Linked DNA regions of Diceros bicornis minor. The protein of the gene in region 2 purifies or fractionates together with the protein of the main gene of each other region. This does not show direct contact. Links are inferred from orthologs where the notes say so. Each region holds a gene or a part of one and is shown on either strand. Other genes may lie near its edges.

Region 1 (9,962 bases), on a different chromosome or scaffold from region 2:
TAAACAAACACAGAGAGAGAGATTGCATTGGTTGGTTACCAGAGGGTAAGAGGGGAGGGAGGAGGGCGAAAGGGATAATTAGGCACATGTGTGTGGTGATGGATTGTAATTAGTGTTTGGGTGGTGAACATGAGAACATGATGTAATCCGTGCAGAAATACAAGTATAATGATGTATGCCTGAAATTTATACAACGTTATAAACCAATGTTACTGCAATAAACAAAAAATTTAAAAAAAAGAAGAAATGATGCATTAGGGTAGCGGATTTAAAAAAAAATAGGTAAAAGAACAATTGTTAGCATTGTTTTAAGTGTCCCGCACAGCATTTGAAGTCTATTAGTTAAGAGCTGACCTTCCACAAATGGGACGCTTCCACAGGGGTTCAGACACCCCTGCTCTAGGAAAGGACCTCTCTCAACCTCACCCACTCCTACCCCCCTCTTTTCCTTTCACTACGGCTTGAAATTATCCCAAGAAAAGTAGAAAATAAACTCTAATATAAACATTATGTAAACTGTCACATTCCCTGGATTAAGTAGGCTCACAGTTGTTTTAAATTTAATTCGTTTCATGAGCACATTATCAGCCCATAATTATAAAACTATATTTTGCATTTCTATAGAGCTGCACTGTCCAATATGGTAACCACTAGCCACATGTGGCTATTTAATTAAGTTAATCTACATAACACAAACATCCAGTTCCTCAGTGGTATTAACCACATTTCAAAGGCTCATATTGAACAGCACAGACATTACAGAGAGTTCTATTGGGCAGGACTGCTATAGGCCTTTTTCCTAAAACTTTATTTTAAAGCATAAAACTGATTCAGCTGAAACACTGGCAGAATTCAACCTTGTAATTTTCAATTCTCTACATCAGTGATTCTCAAAGTGTGGTCCCTGGACTAGCAGCAGCAGCATTACTTAGGAACTTGTTAGAAATACAAATTCTTGAGCCCCAGCAATCTGTATTTTAACAACCTCTCCAGGTGACCCAAGAGATTCTGAAGCATGCTCAAGTTTTAGATCATTGTTCTAAGTTATTTCAGAGCAGTTGTCATCATAAGCTACGAGGTATTACAAGATGTACCATTACAGTCTAAAATATTCTATACATGATATATCAACTATGAAATCATACACAAGCATAGTTCTACTATGATGTCTTATAAAAGAAAAACTCAGTAGAAACTTTCAATAAAATTATTAAAATAACATTAAAACTAAACCAAACCTGAACTTCATGTCTTTAAAAAAAAAATTAAAACTGTAATTTGCTTCCTCTTCCAATTTGTAGATCCCTTTTCACTTCAACATCAACATTTCACATTTTAATTTTTCCCTAAAAATTCAATTAGAAGCTTTAAGTTAGGAAGAATACACAACAGTGGAATAACCTGGAAAGAGGGAGAAATTTTCAAATTTTATGCCAACTGAAATTTTCACATGAGCAAATGTTACTTTTATAATAAACTAATAAATAAAAATAAAGTCTATTAGCTAGAATTAATTCAGCAAGAAGTTGAAATTAAAGTTGCACAAGTGTTACAAAACAGGCTAAACAATTTGAGTACTCTAATTTCCTCTTACCAATCACAGACCTAGTATAAAACTAAATATTTGCAATACCAGCATGTATATTAAATATTTATTAAATTTTCAGATAGAAAAATATCCTTAGAAATTTCAGCTAAGAATGGTAATGCAATATATTAAAGTGATTATAAAACCACTGGGAAAAGATCTAGTCTTGGCTTACTACAAATTTGGCCCAAAAAAAAAGATTTTAAGAGCCTGATTGATTACAAATTCCTGCCACAGCCAAGTGGCTACTGCGATAACCTACTGGTGGAAAATTACTTAGTCACAATTCTTGTATAGAAGGTTTCCAGTAAGCACACCACAATATAAGGCAGCAGATCATTTTAAGAAATTTTATTAAAATATTTACAACATAATGAGCTTACATGCAATCCATAGGAATCTACATCACACTTCATAATACTGCCTCAGCATATAAATGTCCACTCCCAATCAAATATCCTTTCATAAAGTGAACACTGGCAATGCTCGACAGGATTCTGAAATCTAAATATTCTTCATTACTAAACAGTAAGGACACAATTTCCAAATTTTAAATATTGTAAAAAAAAAAAAGTCAAATGACTAATGTTAAGTATTAACCGTGTGCCAGACAGTACTATTTGTCGCTCATCTTACTATTCCTAGCACAGATCCAAGCATATAGTGTACATTTAATTGGCACAAATGAAAAAAGAAATGAGTATTAAGTTCTTTGATAGGATTCAAAGATATTTACAAAAAAAAAGTCCCTGCCCTCAAGGAGGTCACAAATCGAATTAGGAAACATAAACACATGAAAAGCTAAATAACATATGACACATAGCAGGATATGATTATTCGCAAGTTGTGGCAAAGAGAGTGCTATCAGCTCTGACCGGAGTGAGAGTGGTACGGATTGCGGTTCTTCTGGTCTCCCGACCAGTGGGCGACACTGTATTGCAACGTAAAAAAATAAAGTGACACAGCATTCACCCCACCCCGAAATGATCAGCAGAGGAAGGAATACAATAACCAACGAGAACGGTACAGGAAGACCTGCCGGCAAGGCTTGTAAAGCCCACGGGGCCTGGAAGAAGGCAGAGCATCCACATGCACGACTGCTGATTGGATCTCAGGATGAAACAAGCCTCCTAGGAACAGCATCTCCTGACCACTGCCCCCTCCGACCCCCACGAAGCCTGCCAGTGGACAGCGCCCCAGAACTTTCTCCAGCATCCGCAGTGACAATCCTCTCCCCTCCCTCCCCGCGCCGGTACCTCACCCGGAAGAAAGAACGGGGGGCGGGGGAGGAGGACAGGAGAGAGGGCGCTCCCGCAGCAGAAGGAAGGCGAGGAGGAGCGGGGGCCGGCCCGCATCCCCCACCCCGGGGCACGCCCCCGCCCGCCGGACCCGACGAGAGGCGGTGGACTCGAGTGACAGCCCGCCACCTGTGCCGGCCCCCCTTCCCGCGGCGCCACGCCGCCCCCCGCCCCTCTGGCAGCGGCCCCGGCCCCTGTCTGTCCCCTCCCGAGGAGAGAGAGTGACAGGTCCCGGGGGAGGCGGCCGCACGCGCACGCCGCCCGGGACGGTTGGTGCAACGCTCCGCCGCGGCCCTCCAGTAGGCAGCGCGGCGCAGACAGAACGTTCCGGACGGCGGGGTGGCACTTACTGCGGAGGTTGTGGATCAGCTCCGAGTGGCTGGCGCCGCCGGACTTCCAGGCCATCGCTAAGCACACCCGGAGCAGGAACAGAACGACCTTCAGCGCGGCGACGGTGCCCAGCAGCTTCCCCAAGAGTGAAAACACCTCCCACACAGTCACCGCCCTGCTCGCGTCCCCGATGTCGCCGCCGCTGTGACTGCCGTCGCCCCCGCCGCCGCCACTGCGCGCTCCCGGCATCCCCCGCGGCACGCATGCGCTCTGTGACGCCCCACCGGGGCGCGGCCGGGTGGGGGGGGGCGCGGCCACGTGCCCCGCCGCCCGCGCTGGTGGCCGCTGCGGCAGCCCGGCCGGGCTGAGTCAGCCCCCCGCCGCCGCGCGCCGTCTCCTTGCCGGGTGGCCTGCGGCCAGGCGGGTGGGCACCGGCGCGGCCGGGCGCGTGCCCGGCTGCGGCTCTGGTCACCTGGGGCGGTGGCGGGGCAGCTGGGCCGATCTGGTTCTGCCGCTGCGGAGGCTCCGCAGTCGCGCGGGGTCAGCTGCTGCGAGCGGCGGGTCTGCTCCTATAGCCGTCCAGATTGTTAGACGGTGGGTTTCCTCCGTCCTACCTCACCCAACCCAGTTGACTAATGCATAGGTCGGTTACCGTCTGAGCCTGATTAATCTTGGTAGAACCTTTTCTAACCCGGGTACTCTAGCCTCTGGCTTTGTGACAAGTCCATCAGTGTGTGGTCAGCAGAGACCTTGGGACCTTGGTTTGTTCTCAACTCTCAAGCACAAATTCAGAGTGGAAGAATACCATGACATATGGAGTAGGGTGGAGCGTGGGGGATGCTCTGCTCCTTAGCACAATGCAATTGGTTAAAAATACCACAGTATCCTATGGCGAATGTGTTATTCTCCCGACACGAGTGTGCCTTTTCAGCTAATTAAGCCTTCCGCTGTTAGACTGGACACCAGCTTTATTGCTATCAGCTGTGCAAGACAATGATCGAGAAGCTGACAGGGAACATTGCCTGTCGCATTGGTTGGATTAGGGCACTCCACTCCCTCTGGGTCCCTAGCAGTCTTCTCCAGGCTGAGAGCCTCGGGGGTCTGCTGCCTCCCAGGGTTCCTGGGCTGGCCCTACAGGGCGCACAGTCATCAAGAACTGCTTGGGGGAAGTGAGCTGTTTAGATATTGCTCTGGTGAGTAGAAAGTGGGCACTTGCCCCATTAATGCTTCCTGGCTGGTGGCTTCCATAGCACCCCCATCTCTGCAAATACACTTTACTTTGTAAAAGAACTTCCACTGGTGTAGAGTCTTATTTGACTCACCAGGAGGCGAGCCCACTTGGTTCAGTAACAATACGTCTTGAATGCAATAGGATTTACATTCTAATTGGGGAGATCTGCACCCAAAGAAAACTAGCAATAGAGGGCAAAATATAAGTGCTATTAGTGGTCTAGATATCAAGTGCTATGTTAATTTAGATCGCATGGGCTGGAGTAATAAGGAAAAGATACAGGGCAGAACTGGTCCTTGAAGGATGAGCAAGATTCTGAGAAGGAGAGAGGAATAAAAGGACATTATAGGTGTAATCAAAAGCAGAGAAGAGGGAACCTACAGCACCGGTTCCTGGGCTGTCGACGTTACATATCAAACTCATTCTTAATTATATTCATAAATGAATTGAGGAAGGTTACACAGCTAAGCAATGGGTGTCAAAACTCGAACTGGAGTCTTCAGAATTCCAACTCCAGGCTCTGACAGTGTATTAACAAGGATTTGTTTGGGGGATAAAGAGGGAGAGGTTTAGAACAATAAACTGGTCCGTTAATGGACGTACTTCCTTGACAATGTAAGGACTTTGAATCTCTTTTATGCGCAGTGAAATGCAAGACTGAATGCTTGGGTGTGGCTCTGAGGCGGCTTCTCTTGCATTGATTTCGTTTTGTTTTGGCTCTTCGGTTTGTTTTACAGTGCACGATTATCGCACAAATGCACTGTCTCAGTGTCACTACACTGAGCGTGCACATTAAGAGCAGGTCCTGTAGCACGAGGCCCGTACACTCTTGCTTCTGTTCGGGGTCGCCTCGGTGAGCAGGGGCTGGTGGCGCCCGCAGCGCCGACGGAGGAGGATTGGCTCTCCGCGGCCACCGTCCGCTCGTCGAGTGCGGGCCAATCAGGGCCGCGCGGGAAGGGGCGGGACCGAGAGGCGCGCGGCGCGCTCCTCGCTGTACCTGAGGCGGTCGCTGTCGCCATGGAGGAGATTTATGCCAAGTTTGTGTCTCAGAAAATCAGCAAAACCCGCTGGCGGCCGGTGCCTCCGGGGAGCCTGCAGACCGCAGAGACCTTCGCTACGGGCTCTTGGGACAACGAGGTACCGCCGCCTCATCCCGGTCTCCCGGACCGCGCCTGGCCCCAGCCTCCCTCGCCCTTCTCTGCCCCCGGCCTCCGTCTCGGTTGCCCTGCCTCTCGAGCCATCGACGGTGCGCCTGGGCCTCGCATCTCGTTGTGATTTAAACTGTCACCATGCCTTTTGTCTGAGATGCTTTTTTTTTATTTTTTTAAATTGATGTCATAATAGTTGATACCACTGTGCGATTCCACTTGTACATTATTATTGGTCAGTCACCACATATATGCGCCCCTTCACCCCTTGTGCCCACCTCCCAACCCCCTTCCCCCTGGTAACCACCAGACTGTTCTGAGATGCTTTTAAAGCAAGGTTATTTGAAGGCATTGCGAATTTTAATTTCCGAGAGGTTAAAGTAGATTTCATCTCAGGATAAATCTGTCTATTTTACAGGAAAATCGTGTTTCCCTGTGGTCTATTGGCGATTTTGGGAACTCGGACTCTGATGGAGGGTTTGAAGGAGACCATCAGTTACTGTGTGACATCAAACACCATGGTGACGTGATGGACTTACAGGTAAGTCTGTGGAACGTACGAAAGCTAACTTAAAGAGCGGAGAGTAATACATTGAGAGACGCAAAGGACCGTAAAGTTTGTCTAGACTCGCCCCGGTTTACAGGAGACTGAGTTCTCTATAGGTTATGATTTGCCAAAATCATGACTGGGGAAGGAGATGTAGATTTAAGCATAGTTTTTTAATCCTTTTTTTAATTAACTGACCTTCTGCTATGTGCCAAGCACTGTTCTGGGAGCTTTACATAAGTTAGTTTAATTCTCATCACATGCTTGTGAATCAGGTATTATGTCTTTTACCAGTGAGAAAACAGACTAAGACCTTTTGGGCATGTACTATGTGACAAATACTGTGCAAGGCACTTGACAGGTTTTGCTTTTTGAGTTCTCATAACAACCCCCTAAGTAAGGATTAGTTCTTTCCTCTTAAAGGTTTGCCAGGACTTAGAGAACTTAACTTGGCGACAGTCTCAAAGTCAGTAGTAAGTGGTGGCAATGGAATTAAGTTTTTAAATCCTGGTCTGCATGACTTCAAAGTCCTGGCAGTCCTGATTCTGTAGAAAGCTCCCTAACCCTGGAATGATACTTTTCTAAACCTTTACGGTAGTGGTCCAAAATTAAATCAATTATAGGTGAATGAGTTTAGGGAAAAAATTATTGTTATTTATTCTTCATGAAAATACTTTTATTTGTATAGCAGTTTTGACTTTCAGATCTATCATCAGATTTTATTTGCTTAGCATTTATAGCTCTTCACATCTTAAAATTGTTATACTACTGAGTTAAACTACTAATATTTCTGAATCTATAACGAGCAGGAATTTTCTGTTTAGTTTTTTGACCAGGAAAGGATTGTAGCTGCTTCATCAACAGGATGTGTAACAGTTTTCCTTCACCATCCAAATAACCAGGTAAAGAACTTTTTTTGAAAACTGAATTTGTATTTTAATTATTTATAGGAAGGCTTAAAGAAGACTGTACTTAATGACACAAATAAAAAGTTTTATAGCCTGAAAACATGGAGAGGAAAAATATCACCATTATATTACCTATCTTTTAGTAGATTAATTCTAGAACCATGTTTGTGTGAGCTTTTATTGAAATTCGACATCTCTTAAATAAATTCTGTTAGTTTAGAACTAACAATATGGTATTCTGGCAAGTGATTTTCCAGTAATTCTCTGTTTTAAGTTTCTATTCTAATCTTTTGAAGAAAAAAAGAGCACATTCTAGCTAAGGTATCATGAGAGAGAACAAGAACAGCTACTTTACTTCTGTGGATAGAACCCAGGTTTTAATTAGAAGAGAGGATACACTCTATGAAGACTTGGCACTTTTTCAATGCCTTTCGTGTATGCTGAAGCCCACAAGTGGTCACTTTCAAAGAGTAGCAGTGAGGGCAAATCTTTACAATAGCCCCACTTGTAGTAATAGTTTTCAGTTGCTAGAAGAGAGTGCTTATTTAGATTTTTGGATTAATAAAGGTCACCTTGTGGATAGGCATATGTAGTAAATATAAGACCCAGATCTTGTTAAATATTTTTCTGAATCGAGTCATTTAGAAAGCACTACAGGGAGTTATTTTTTACATGTAGGCTAATTCTCTTAAGAATTTAGAGTTACTTTTGAACACATGACTACCTGGTACCTAAAACCCATTTCTTTACTTTGCTATATTGGGCCAGCCCCGTGGCTTAGCGGTTAAGTGCACGTGCTCCACTGCTGGTGGCCCGGGTTCGGATCCCGGGCGTACACCGAAGCACCGCTTCTCCGGCCATGCTGAGGCCATGTCCCACATACAGCAACTAGAAGGATGTGCAGCTATGACATACAACTATCTACTGGAGCTTTGGGGGAAAAATAAATAAATAAAATTATAGTTTGCTATAAATGTGGGACATTATTGAGCAGCATTCATTTTGAATCTAATCCAGTGTATACAGAGCTTTGTAGAGTAGTTCTAGACTTTATTACTCGGAAATACAAACAAAAAAGGAGAGAGTTATTCTTTTTCTCGAAGGGTATGAGACAGAATTTAAAAATACTCTTGAGTTGGGGAAAAGTGCTAGGTGTTTAGAGCTTTGCTTTGGTTAATCATCTGCTCGTTTCTGATGCCCAGACTCTGTCAGTCAGCCAGCAGTGGACGGCCGCTCACTACCACACGAGCCCAGGCAGCCCCTCCTGTTGCAGTGCACCCTGCACGGGTATCGTGTGCAGCAACCCAGAAATTGTCACAGTTGGAGAAGATGGTCGGATAAATCTTTTCAGGGCTGATCACAAGGAGGCTGTGAGAACTATAGGTGAGAAAAACCATTATATTTCTTTCATCCATCACCTAGTAATTGAGCACCTACTATGTGCTGTGTAAACACAGTGCTGGGTGTTTTGAGGGATATAAAAATATACAAAGCAGGATCCCTCTATCAAGACAGTGTGGTGATAAGGCCTGCACGAATGAGTGACTACAGAGGAGAGAGAAACTTTTTTTCTGACTAGAGGGGATTACTGAATAAAGAATTGAGGGGCAGGTAGCAATTAATCTAGGTTTTGGACCATAAGTAATACTAAAAGATAGCAAGCTAGACAAAGAGAATAATGTGGAGGTGGGATAAGGCCATTAAGAGAACGAAAAACAGTGTAGTTTGTTTGACCTGACTTTAAATATTTATATAGAAGAGGTGAGCAATGATGCAGGAAAGGTAAATTGGGGCCTGGTCGTGAAGAGTCTGATGCATAGCTGTAGAGGTTACATTTTGTTAGGTGGGCAGCCAAGGAGCCAGTGCAAGTTTTTGAGCAGGTGGGGTGATAGACTCCCTGTCCTGCTTTAGAAGGATTATTCTCCTGTAGTAGTTCTCAACTCTGCTGCACACAGACTTGCCTGGGGAGATTTTTAACAGTCCACCACCCTAGACCTTCTGAATCAGAACCTCTGTGGTTTGAGCCCATGAATCAGTTTTTTGTGTTGTTTATTATGATTTTTAGTTCTGAGGAACACCACTTGTTTAATTGTTAAGGACCATTGCCTGGTGGTGGTTTGGAGGAGTGTCACAAAACAAAAGTCTATAAGTATATGCTAAATTATATGGTATAAGCTCTAAACACTCTAGGAAAAAAGAAAAGGACCATTATAACAAGCAGGAAGGACTTCCTGGAGGAGGAGAGAATTAATGAGGGTAAAGGTGGTAGACTTGAGATGAGTCAGCAGAATAATACAAAGGCAGAGTGAACTCTGGAGGAAGCACTGAGGTTTGGCCCAAGAGAATGGAGTCTCTGAGTTCAGGACTAGTGGGAAATAAAATTGGATATAGAGGAGCTTGAACAGCTGTCTCCAAAATGGAGGGTAACACTCTTAAGTGGAAATAGAGGAATATGTGAAAACTCAGCCCTCTGTTTGGAAAATAGTTCAGATGTCCTGTGAGTGATAGTATTTCTCTATCAAAGGAGAGTCCATTTTAATTTTTTTTTTAATTTTATTTATTTATTTTTTTTCCCCCAAAGCCCCAGTAGATAGTTGTATGTCATAGCTGCACATCCTTCTAGTTGCTGTATGTGAGACGCAGCCTCAGCATGGCCAGAGAAGCGGTGCGTCGGTGTGCGCCCGGGATCCGAACCCCGGGCCACCAGCAGCGGAGCGCGCACACTTAACCGCTAAGCCACGGGGCCAGCCCAGAGAGTCCATTTTAACATGTATATTTCTGTGCATTTTTCTATAGAAATTGAACTGTGACTTGTTTAAAATTTCATTTGTAATATTTCAATCAATAGAAGGAATGCGATTTAAGATTTTCATGGAAAAGGGGAACCCATTAACACACACTACTGTTTTCTT
Region 2 (10,713 bases):
GGTATGAGCAGCAATAAAAATGTACCTTTAAATCAGTCTCCCCAAGGAAAAATGCTCAAGATGGGTACTGGAACCTATATGTTCATGAGGTAGTAACTACGGGCTGAGGAGAGCTTAGCTTCAGCTCCTGGAGACTGACTAATAGTTCACTCCCTTCTGAGTGCTTAGTGTCATTAGTATAAGGATCAAATTGAAAATCTTACACAGCAATGCTATTTTGCATTCAGAAAAATCCTTTGGTCCACAATCAAATCTGGGTAGGCAGACATGGTAAAATTAACATAGCAAATAACCTTACTTCCTTCAGGGCAACCTACATGTCCAAGACCACCTCTCACAGCCGATATTAAAACTGGCAAAACGAACCAAGAAGATACCTCTTACTACAAAGTAATTTCCAAACATTTTATAGTAATCAATACACTTTTACTCTATCCCGGCCTTTAAAAGAGTAACACGTTTACTATTAATCTTGCAGTTGTGAAGCAGTAAATAACAAAAGTCTTCTTTGCTTAAACCCAGAGGCAATTTACTCACGTTTTTGAGTAGAACAAGATAAACATTGCCAAAATAAACCAGTTTCACAAGCAAAGTAAAACTGTTCAGTGACTAGATCATTGTTAGCTATGAACACTAAGAATCCACAAGACTGTAATAAATATTTTAAAGATCTGTTTAACATTCTAAGACGAGATGTTTAATATGCAAAACCATTCTTCAGAAAACACTTAATGTAGACAATGTGAAGTGCATGTAAAAATCTCTGTGCCTTTTTAATAAGCATAGAGCCAAATACAGGAGAACCGTTTTTATCTTGTTTTTGGAACTAAATGTGCTATAGTACTCTACTACTCCAACAAAACTCTTCTGTTTTCTTCTTAGTTAGATACAATTCTTTCATTTCCTACTGGGTATTTTAAACACCTGGGTCAAGTCATTCTGCACCACAGTTTACATGACTTTTCTTCTTTTAAATACAGTACCATAGTGATTCCTAAAGAATGTCTCATCCACTTTTTCCAAAATTTTCTCTTTTCTTTCCTTTACTGCATTGTCTCTCTTCCTTATAATACTCTTCACCAAATACTCGTGGCTTCCTACTCTTCTATGCTTCAAAACAGGGCTCAGCTTTTATAGTCATCAGCAACCACTCAGAATTTATTTCTTCTGATCAGCAAACTGTCAGATTAACACCTTATCTGCATCTAAATGTTGCTGGTGTCACAGCTTCAACCTGTGACATGAGATGCTTAAGGGTTTCAGTTTTCTGAAAGTCTGACCAAAAAATTATTTCAAGCCATATAACCTAGTTACTTTTATGATGAATATGACTTCAATTCTCATTAAAGGCTTTTAAGCTACATATTTTTATAAAAAGGGAGAAAAATTCAGCCCCATTTTTCTACATACCATAGACAAATTTCCCAAGAACCCTGAAGACTGTGTAAGCCGGGGAGACCTCCCTCCTGTTCCAAGAATGCAGGAGACATCCGGCTGCCTTAGCAAGCTTCGATTCGGTGGAGTAACTACAAACAAGAGGTTAGTAAAAAGAACCCCAAAGTGCATGAGCACTGATCATGAAAACAAAACAAGCAAACAAACAATAAAGAATAAATAATTTTCCGTTTTCAATTATTTACAGTCTAACCAAATAAATACTTTAATGTTAATATTTCCATGATATGAAGATTTAACTTATTTTCCTAAATTTGAGCTTTTGGTATTACTGAGCTCATTAGGAAAATTTTACTGCAAATAGAGATGTTTCCATTATAACATAACTGAGCACTAAAACAAGGACATAAGTGAGTCAATGGATTCTATTTTACAAAGCATACTGAGGAGGCAGTATATCTCGGAGGTCATGGGCTTTGGAGTAAGCAGATCACTGTGGGAATACTGGTTCCATTAATTACATACTTACTTAGCTATGTTATCTGCATTAACTTCTCTAAGTCTTACTTTCAGTTTTGGCAAAATAGAGATAATACCTATGTCATAGTTACCGTGCATTTGCGTAAGTACAGTGCCTGAAACATGGTTAAGAGTGCAACAAATAGTCACTACAATCATTGTTATTGTTCTTAATTATTGATACTGCAACCAAATGTTATATTTATTATGTGTATTATAAGAGTTAGCTGCTATTATTATTCTTATTAAATGCTTTAAAAGCAAAAAACCTTACAGGGTGGTCGAAATGAGCTGGGAGTTTGAGGGATACCCTGGTTTCTTGGTGTAGTATTGGCAAAAATTTCATCTTGGGATGCCCGAACTGTGGGAAGAGTTAAGAAAGTTTTCCATGCAGAAAAGACACCATTCAAGTTAGAACTAACCATATTTACACTATAAAAAATATGTGAATACATTTTTCAAAACCAAGGTATTTTATGGCTACCATTTTCTCTATGCCAAGAGTAAATAATTCCCTCTACGATTTAAATTCTCAGATATCAGTCTTTTTTGTGTGTGTGTGAGGAAGATCAGCTCTGAGCTAACATCCGATGCCAATCCTCCTCTTTTATTTTTTTGCTGAGGAAGGCTGGCCCTGAGCTAACATCTGTGCCCAGCTTCCTCCACTTTATATGGGATGCCACCACAGCATGGCCTGACAAGTGGTGCGTCGGTGTTCGCCTGGGATCCGAACCTGCGAACCCCAGGCCGCTGAAGCAGAGTGCGTGCACTTAAACCGCTTGCGCCACCAGGCCGGCCCCAGATATCAGTCTTAAGATTACTACACACTGAACTAAGAGTTCTCAGTCAGATTTCAAATAAAAAAAAGATGTCTAATCTCAGCAGAAGCTAACCACAATATGATAGCAGTAAAATGGAACATCTTTATTTTCAGGAAAACATAAATCTTAATTTCATTGAATTTCAGCATTATATTTGCCAAATAACATATCTGGAGAGTTGAAAAAACTAATTTCCACAGCATTTTATTATTATAGCTAGTGTTTAATACCTCTCACACACAAAAAATCTATAATCCTGATTCCAAACATGTTGCAGTTTTTTTAATAATGATGCTTAAAGCACAAAGGATACTTAGAACTCTTTTTTGAGCACTCTGTTTCCGTGCAGTCCGTGTCACCTCCGCCTCCCGGATCACAGGGGATGACATTTCTCCAAAGCCACTCCTAAAATGGCATAATCAAGCTCATGTAAATGAAATCAGAATGCAGCATTTGCAAAGAACTTTATCATCATGATTGGAGCAAAGAACCCTGAGTCAGTCAAGGTACAAATCATCCCAGGAGCCAAGTCTTTGATCATTTTGTTGACAATACCCTTCTGGCTCCAAATCCTGCTTCTCCCTCCAAGTCTCTCTCCAATTTTACCTGCACAAAGGCTTCTCTGACTTTCTGGCATTCACTGTGGTATTTTCTCCTTTGGAATTATTTCAACACTTGGAATCTATATTATAACACTGTTTTAGATAACCGCCTCACGAAGGTCAATCTTTCCTCTGATGGATTGAGGAGTTCCCTAAAATTTCAGGAACAATCTCTTAAAAGGATCTCCTATAGTCTCCAAGATACTTCAAACCATAGGTACTATGAAAAAATCTGTTGTTTGAGCTGGTGAGATGGGAAGATAGTAAAAAACCAATTCTAGTAAACTGGAGAGAAATGATCCTTCCAGTTATTTCTCCCCAGAGTACACTGAGGGTTCTCCTGTCTCAGCACTATTGTGGTCACAATGCTTCAGCCCTCCCCTGTCACTCTCAGACCAAGATCTACAAAATAAACTGTGTGAATTAGGAGACTTGTATTTTAAGTCAACAATCCAATATGCTTTTCCTCCACTTCAATCCTTCAGATAGCTACCTCTGGCCTACAGACTCAAGTCCACGGTTTTTACACCTGACCTCAAACTTATCAGTTCAGTCACAAACATCACCCCCATACAAACATATACAGCATGTGACTATTCAGCTACACAAAGCATGCAGTTTCATATTCTTACCTTTTCTTTTACCGGGGCCTATGTTTGCCCCCTTGGCCCACCTGGTGAACACTTGCTTACTCATCAAACAGCCTCCTGCAGTCTGCAGACACACAGCCAGGCTGGCAACTTGGTTCTTCTATTTACTAGCTTCCTAACCTTGACCCAGTTCCTTATCCTCTTTCAGCCCCAGTGTTACCTATGAGAAGAGGATCGTAGCACCCATCCTCATAGGACTGGTATGAAGATTCAATTAGCTAATACTACACGAAAAGGGTTTAAGACACTCGATGTCGGCTGCTATTATCATTCAAAGACCAACTAGAAAGTCGGCTCCTTTGGGAGGTCTTCCTGAAACCGCCCCCTCGTCTCCCCCCACAGCGCAGCAGGAAACACTTCTCACTTCGTGCTGCGCGGTAGTCTCCCGCACCACACAAGAACTCGCATAACTCATCTGCGTCGCAGGCGGCTAGCAGCGCCAGGGTCACAGAGAACTCAAGTCAGTGGCTGTCCGCTGCTGGAGCTGCGGTCAGCAAGCCTGGGCTGCGGTCCCCGTTCTCGCCGACTGGCCGGGACCTCGCAGGGCACGCAGCATCTCCTCCCACCCCGCCCCCCAGGAGCGGGAAACGGGAGAAAGAGCACAAGAGACGGCGGAGCCGCCGCGGGGACGCGGGGACTGTGGCCAGCCGTGTCCCCCCGACCCCGGCTGCAGTCTCCCCGCCGGGGAAGGAGGCCTGGGCAGCACCCGGCCCTCCCGGCTTCCTCTGCGCGTCGGGGGTCACCTATTTCGCTCTGCTGACAAGCAGGAGGGACAAGTCTCCCAGCTCAGCCGTCACCACCGCAACTGACCTGTCCATGGCTACAGCCTGCCCCACCGAGAGCCTTGCAGTCTCGGCTCCAGCTTAGCCACCGCGTTTCAGCCTTCCCGCTCTCCGGAAGCAAATCCTTCGACCCGGAAGTATGTCCTCGCTAAGCCGCCGTAGAGAAAAGACGTGGGGGGAGGGGGGACGGCGACCAACTTTCTCATCGAGCGCATGCGCACCTTCTTCCGCCTGCAGCCGCAGATCCGACCTGCGCAGGCGCGAAAGTGTGCTAGCGTGTGAAGACGATGCGGGGGGCCGGGCCGGGCCGGGCCGGGGCAGGGCCGGGCCAGTGACGCGCCGCCGCCACTGCCTGACTGACATGTGTGGGCGTGGCCCCGGCGCCGGGGTGTCCTATGGGAAACGGCGTCGGCTGACGGTCCAGGAAGACGTGCAGTCACTTCCGGGTGTTCTCTGTGAGAGGGGCCGGGGCCGGGGACAGGGGCTCTCGCTTGTGTGCGTCGTGTCTGTGGAGCTGTTACCGTGATGGCTCCTTGTCTTCACTGGGTGTCTTCCTCTTAAGGAGAAAGGGCTCCTCTTTAGCAAGGACGAGCTTTGGGGCAAAGCGTTGGCCAGCGTTAGTTCATGTGCAGCGCTTGTTGGAGAGGGGCCCGGGTCACGTCTACACAGTCAGCACACGCGCAGCGAATGTTTCAAAATGTAGTCATGTCAGCGCCTTAAAGCTCTATGGGACGAACTCCTGTGTGGTGCGCGTCGTGTACATCCCAGCCTCGTTGTAGGGCCCTGCGTTTCCTGACATGCACTGCGGCTACCTGGAGGAGGAGAGAATGTTCTAGAAGCCTGTCCGGCGCCCACGGAATGGTTCAGAAGCTGGAGGAGAGGCCAGGAAGCGGCGCCCGAGCGCCCCCCCACCCCCCCCCACCCCCACAGCGCCCCTGTAGCGCCCCGAGCCGGGCCGTGTGGAGAGAGCGCCCCCTCGCTCGCCCCCCTTCTCCTGCGCCCCCCCCGCCCCCACAGCAGAGGGGAGCAGACGTGACCTTGTCTTCCCCGACTGTTCGTTTTGAAAACTTGGAGACTACAGAAAGCTGTAGCGACAGCACGACAGGCGTCGATGCGCTCCTCCCTGGCCCCCCCCCCACTGCTAACATCGCCCCACGACTGTTCTCCCCTTTTTTGCCTGAGCCGTTTGCAAGTTAGTTGTAGCCGTCTTGACGCTTCACCCCAAAGCCTTCAGACTTCCCGAGTCAAGGACAAAACGTCGTGCCCCCAGTACGGTAAAACACGCGCCGGGAACGTCTCCCGCTGACGGAGTCCCGTCACCGACGTGTTCAGACCTGCCCCGTTGTCTGATAACGGCCCGTACGGAGCCCCCCTCCAGCGCGGGACCTGGCGGGGCGGGGTGCGTCGGTTGTCGCGTCTCCGTATTCTGCTCTCGTTTGGAACAGTCCCCTAGACTTTTCTTTTAAATCATTAATATTTCCAAGAGTTCAGGCCAATTTTTCCAGAATGTTCCTCAGTTTGGATTTGTCCGATGTGTTCTGAGGACAGGCACTTGATGAACGTTTGGAGGGACGCGGCGCGGGAGGCTGCCCAGGAGCTGCCCGGGTTTCACTGGATGCCCTGGAGGCACGTGAGGTCGGCGTGTCTGTTCCAGAAGCCCCCTAACCCTCCGTCCTCACAGGAAAGCGTCCTTTCCAGCTGTCTCTGCTCGGCGCTCTTCCCAGCCAAACCTGTGTTTTGGTAAACTGTGATGAGCTGTTTGCTGGTGTTCTTACCATAAATCCAATGGATGTGGCGATTACAGAACGGTAAGATAACAGACATAAGCAAATAGAGAAATTAAAGAATTCCCAGGCCGGCCTGCGGCTTAGCGGTTAAGTGCGTGCGCTCCGCTGCTGGCGGCCCGGGTTCGGATCCCAGACGCGCACCGACGCACCGCTTCTCCTGCGGTGCTGAGGCCACGTCCCACATACAGCAACTAGAGGGATGTGCAACTATGACGTACAGCTACTGGGGCTTTGGGGAGAAAAAAAGGAGGAGGATTGGCAATGGATGTTAGCTCAGAGCCGGTCTTCCTCAGCAAAAAGAAGAGGATTAGCATGGATGTTAGCTCAGGGCTGATCTTCCTCATAAAATAAATAAATAAATAAAATAAATACATTGTTAAAAAAGAAATTCCCATGATTCCATTATCTATATCTGACTACAGTCCCGTGAGAGACTCATCGGAACCACCTGGTGGGGTCCAGTGGACCCGCAGAGCCCAGCAAGTTGATGGTGTCTGACGCCACTCTGTCGGGGTGGCCTGCTGCGCCGCAATCCGTAGGGGAGCAAGTGGGGTCGTACTGTAAGAGTGTTATAGTCTGCTTTTTCACTTAACAGTGTGAGCGTCTTATCATATCAAATATCATTCATCTACATCGGGCTCAATTTAGGCAGACGTTGAAGGCGTAACCTTCCTTTTTGTCTCCGTTTACATTTACCGTGCAACCTAGTGCAGTCTGACCTCCGCCCTCGCTGCTGAGTGAAAACTGCTGGAAAAGGTCGCCAGTGATCCTCTGTCAGTGGAAGTTTGTTTTTCATTCCCCATCCTCTGTGGAACACTTGACACCCTAGACCGCTCTCCTCGCTGCCACCCTCCTGCCCCTCCCTGGCATGCCTTTACTCGGCTTCTGCTTCCTTCTGGCTTCTCTCCACTAGTCTCCTCCGTAGGCTCTTGAACTCTGCCCTTCCCTTAAACGTCAACTGATCTTCCCCAGAACTCTGCCCATCTACTTCCTACTAGATCCCAGCTTGGAGTTGTACCCCTGCCTTGCTTTTGTATTCCAGACTCACTGCACCCACTTGCTTCCTGGACGTGCCCACTCTTGAGGATACAGAGTATGTGAAATGTCACGTGTGCTAACTCTAAATTTGGACCCAGCAGGCCTACCCCTCCCTCACTTCCCACCGAAACAACCTCACAACTACAACCATACCTCTCCTCCTGTATTTGCCGTCTTAGCAAGTGGCGACATCCAGTTACCCAAGCCAAAAATCTGGAATCTACTCTCAATAGGACTGAAGTTTCACAAGGGTAGACGTCTTTATCTGTTTTGCTTGGGGTTGTATCCCTTTAAATATCGGTCTATCGGGCCGACCAGGTGGCGTGAGCGGTTAAGTGCGCACTCCGCTGCGGCGGCCTGTGGTTCACTAGTTCGGATCCCGGGCGTGCACCAACTCACTGCTTGGCAAGCCATGCTGTGGCGGCGTCCCATATAAAGTGGAGGAAGATGGGCATGGATGTTAGCCTAGGGCCAGTCTTCCTCAAACAAAACAAAACAAAACAAAAAATCAGGATTGGCAGATGTTAGCACAGGGCTGATCTCATAAATATCGGTCCATCAGTGATTCTCCTCTCATTCCCCACGTCTGCTTTGTTACCAAATCTTCAATCTGTCTTCCCATTTCCACTGCTACTTTCTTGTGCCTGACTCATCATCTCTTCACTGTAGCTCCTCCAACTGCACTTTTTTCTCCATATTGCTAAGAGAGTGTCTTCCAAAAATGCAAATCTGATCATGTCACTCACCTTTCAGTTTCCTCCTGATTTTAATTTTAACTCCAAACTACTTGACTCAGCCTTCAGCATCTCATTTGCCTGTCTGGCATCGTCTTGCCATTGTCTCTAGCTCAAATTCGATACTCCAGCTGTATTCAACTACAGTTCCCCAAACATTCTGTGGCCATTTGGCGGATGTTCCTCACTCCTACCAAACAGAGGCAGAGAGGGAATAAACCAATGCCCACATCATAGACTGCTATGCAGTCATTAAAAGGCTGTTTAGAGAGAGTTTGTAATAATTTGGAAATGTTTGTTTTGCTTTAAATGAGGGAAACAGGTTGTCATATAGTATGTAACGTTATGCTCAGAAACAATGTAAAAATGCATAAAGAAATACTGAAGCCCGGGGTGGGGTCATGGTGATAAAGGGATGAATAGGCAGATCACAGAGGTTTTCCAGGGCAGTAAAAACACTCAGTATGATACTATAATGGTGGATACATGTCATATATATTTGTCCAAACCCATAGAATGTACAACACCAAGAGTGAACCCTATGTAAACTATGGACTTTGGGTGATTGTGATGTGTTAATGTGGGTTCACTGATTATAACAAATGTTCCACCCTGGTGGGGGATGTGGATAAGGGGGGAGGCTATGATGTGTGGGGACGGGGGGTGGGTATATGGGAAATCTCTGTACCTTTCTCTCAATTTTGCTGTGAACCTAAAACTGCTCTAAAAAAATGAAGTCTTTTTAAAAAAAATCTGAATGAAGATCATACCAAATGTTGATTGTGGTTGTCTTTGGTGAAACTAGATGATTTTATTGTTTTATTTAAAGCAACTTATTTTCATAGCATGGTCCAATTGAAATTCAAAGGAATATTTTAATAAATTCATTAAGAATTCCAGTGAGTCAGATATGAATCTAGTGAATTAAGTTATGGTAGGTGCTTAATTCTTTTTTCCATGTCCAAAAGATAGAAGAATTTTGAATACAGTTGTAGGATACACTGCAGCTTATATAAAACAAAAGGAAGTACTTAGATTATTAGCAGTTTGTTCAGATATGAGATGGTCTTGGGTTTTTTAAGTTTTATTTTAATATTTGGGGAGTAGTTTTATTCTTCTGTCGGTTGTCATACTGTGGCAGCTGCATGTTGCTCTGATGCTGAAAGCTCTACCACTGGGATTTCAAATACCAGCAGGGTCAGCCATGGCGGGCAGGTTTCAGTGGAGCTTCCAGACTAAGACTCGGAAGAAGGACCTGGCCACCTACTTCTGAAAAAACTGGCCATGAAAACCCTATGAATAGCAGAGGAGGATTGTCTGATAGAGTGCCACAAGGTGAGAGGATAGTGCAGAGAGACCGGGCAGGGTTACACAGGGTCACTGGGAGTCGGAATCCACTCGACAGCACTAACAACAACGAGTTTTCTTCTTTGAGCTCAAAACATTGCAAACATGCTATTATAATTTCATAATGTTCTTTTTATCTAAAGAAGCAGAATTGCAGAAAGATGAAATAATTTACTTTAGATCATGGACTTAAAGTAATTGAACCACAAGCTAAAAGTATAGTAAATAGTGAATCGTGAATTGAATACAAATACCAGTGTTTGGCTGAACCGTGAACCGACCACCATGTGTAGGTTTTAAAACACGGCTTGGCTCAGGAGACAATGTTGCCTGGAGGGTAGGAGCACTGTCTTAGAAATTTCCTGGTTTGAATCTCAGTTCTGCAGTTTATCATCTGTTTAACTGCTCTAAACCTCATCTGTGTAAGTAAGAATAATCTCTTGGGGTAGCTGTGAGGACTAAATGTAACAATAGCAACAGAGCAAAGTGGTCAAAAGCCCAGACTTGATTGCCTGGGGACGCATCCCAGCTCCACGACTTATTAGCTGTGTGAACTTGGGTGCAAGTCTGTGCCTCAGTTTCTTCTTTTTGGGTGTAATAATAGTACTACACCATAAGGTTGTTGTGAGGATTTAATATGTGCAAAGCTTAGAAGAGTACCGGGCATTATGAATGGCATATTATACCTTTTCAAACAATCTTATTACTTTCATAATAATTATCAGTTCATTTTGCAACATCAAACTTGAGACCTAGCGATAGAGGCATTAGTAACAGATTGAACTGAACTAATTCCAATCCTTTTTTTCTATGATGCTGAAATAATAGCAGAAGGATTTTTTCCTTGTCTATATGAACTCAAAATAATACTTCATATTGATAAATATAAATATGATTGCAAAGTCTCCTTTTGTTCTTCATATAAAGCAGTTCAGTGGTTATAATCCTGAAGAATCCTTTACTCATCCATTCACAAACATTTGTTAAGTGTCTGCAATGTACCGGGCACTGTGATTGGACCTGGGAGAGATAGACTGG

The links. Proteins that work in one complex are often made in the same cells at the same time.
Region 1: the proteins of NUP107 (region 2) and NUP43 purify together in Homo sapiens (affinity purification with mass spectrometry; 8 studies listed by BioGRID and IntAct, counting the BioPlex papers as one, with this or other methods). This does not show direct contact. The link is inferred for Diceros bicornis minor from reciprocal best matches to the Homo sapiens genes NUP107 and NUP43.

What each region holds. Positions count from the first base shown.
Region 1 is NC_080778.1:28,160,595-28,170,556, reverse strand, and holds the start of NUP43 (nucleoporin Nup43), read left to right. Parts: upstream 1-5,437; 5' UTR 5,438-5,464; coding exon 5,465-5,584; intron 5,585-6,013; coding exon 6,014-6,136; intron 6,137-6,966; coding exon 6,967-7,044; intron 7,045-8,252; coding exon 8,253-8,433; intron 8,434-9,962. Other genes in the region: PCMT1 (protein-L-isoaspartate(D-aspartate) O-methyltransferase), read right to left, coding at 3,237-3,465. UniProt on the Homo sapiens protein: Component of the Nup107-160 subcomplex of the nuclear pore complex (NPC). The Nup107-160 subcomplex is required for the assembly of a functional NPC.
Region 2 is NC_080756.1:2,507,845-2,518,557, forward strand, and holds the start of NUP107 (nuclear pore complex protein Nup107), read right to left. Parts: upstream 4,948-10,713; 5' UTR 4,806-4,947; coding exon 4,798-4,805; intron 4,148-4,797; exon of another isoform or gene 3,970-4,147; intron 3,490-3,969; exon of another isoform or gene 3,342-3,489; intron 3,141-3,341; coding exon 3,049-3,140; intron 2,276-3,048; coding exon 2,189-2,275; intron 1,557-2,188; coding exon of another isoform or gene 1,527-1,556; coding exon 1,411-1,526; intron 1-1,410. UniProt on the Homo sapiens protein: Plays a role in the nuclear pore complex (NPC) assembly and/or maintenance. Required for the assembly of peripheral proteins into the NPC. May anchor NUP62 to the NPC. Involved in nephrogenesis.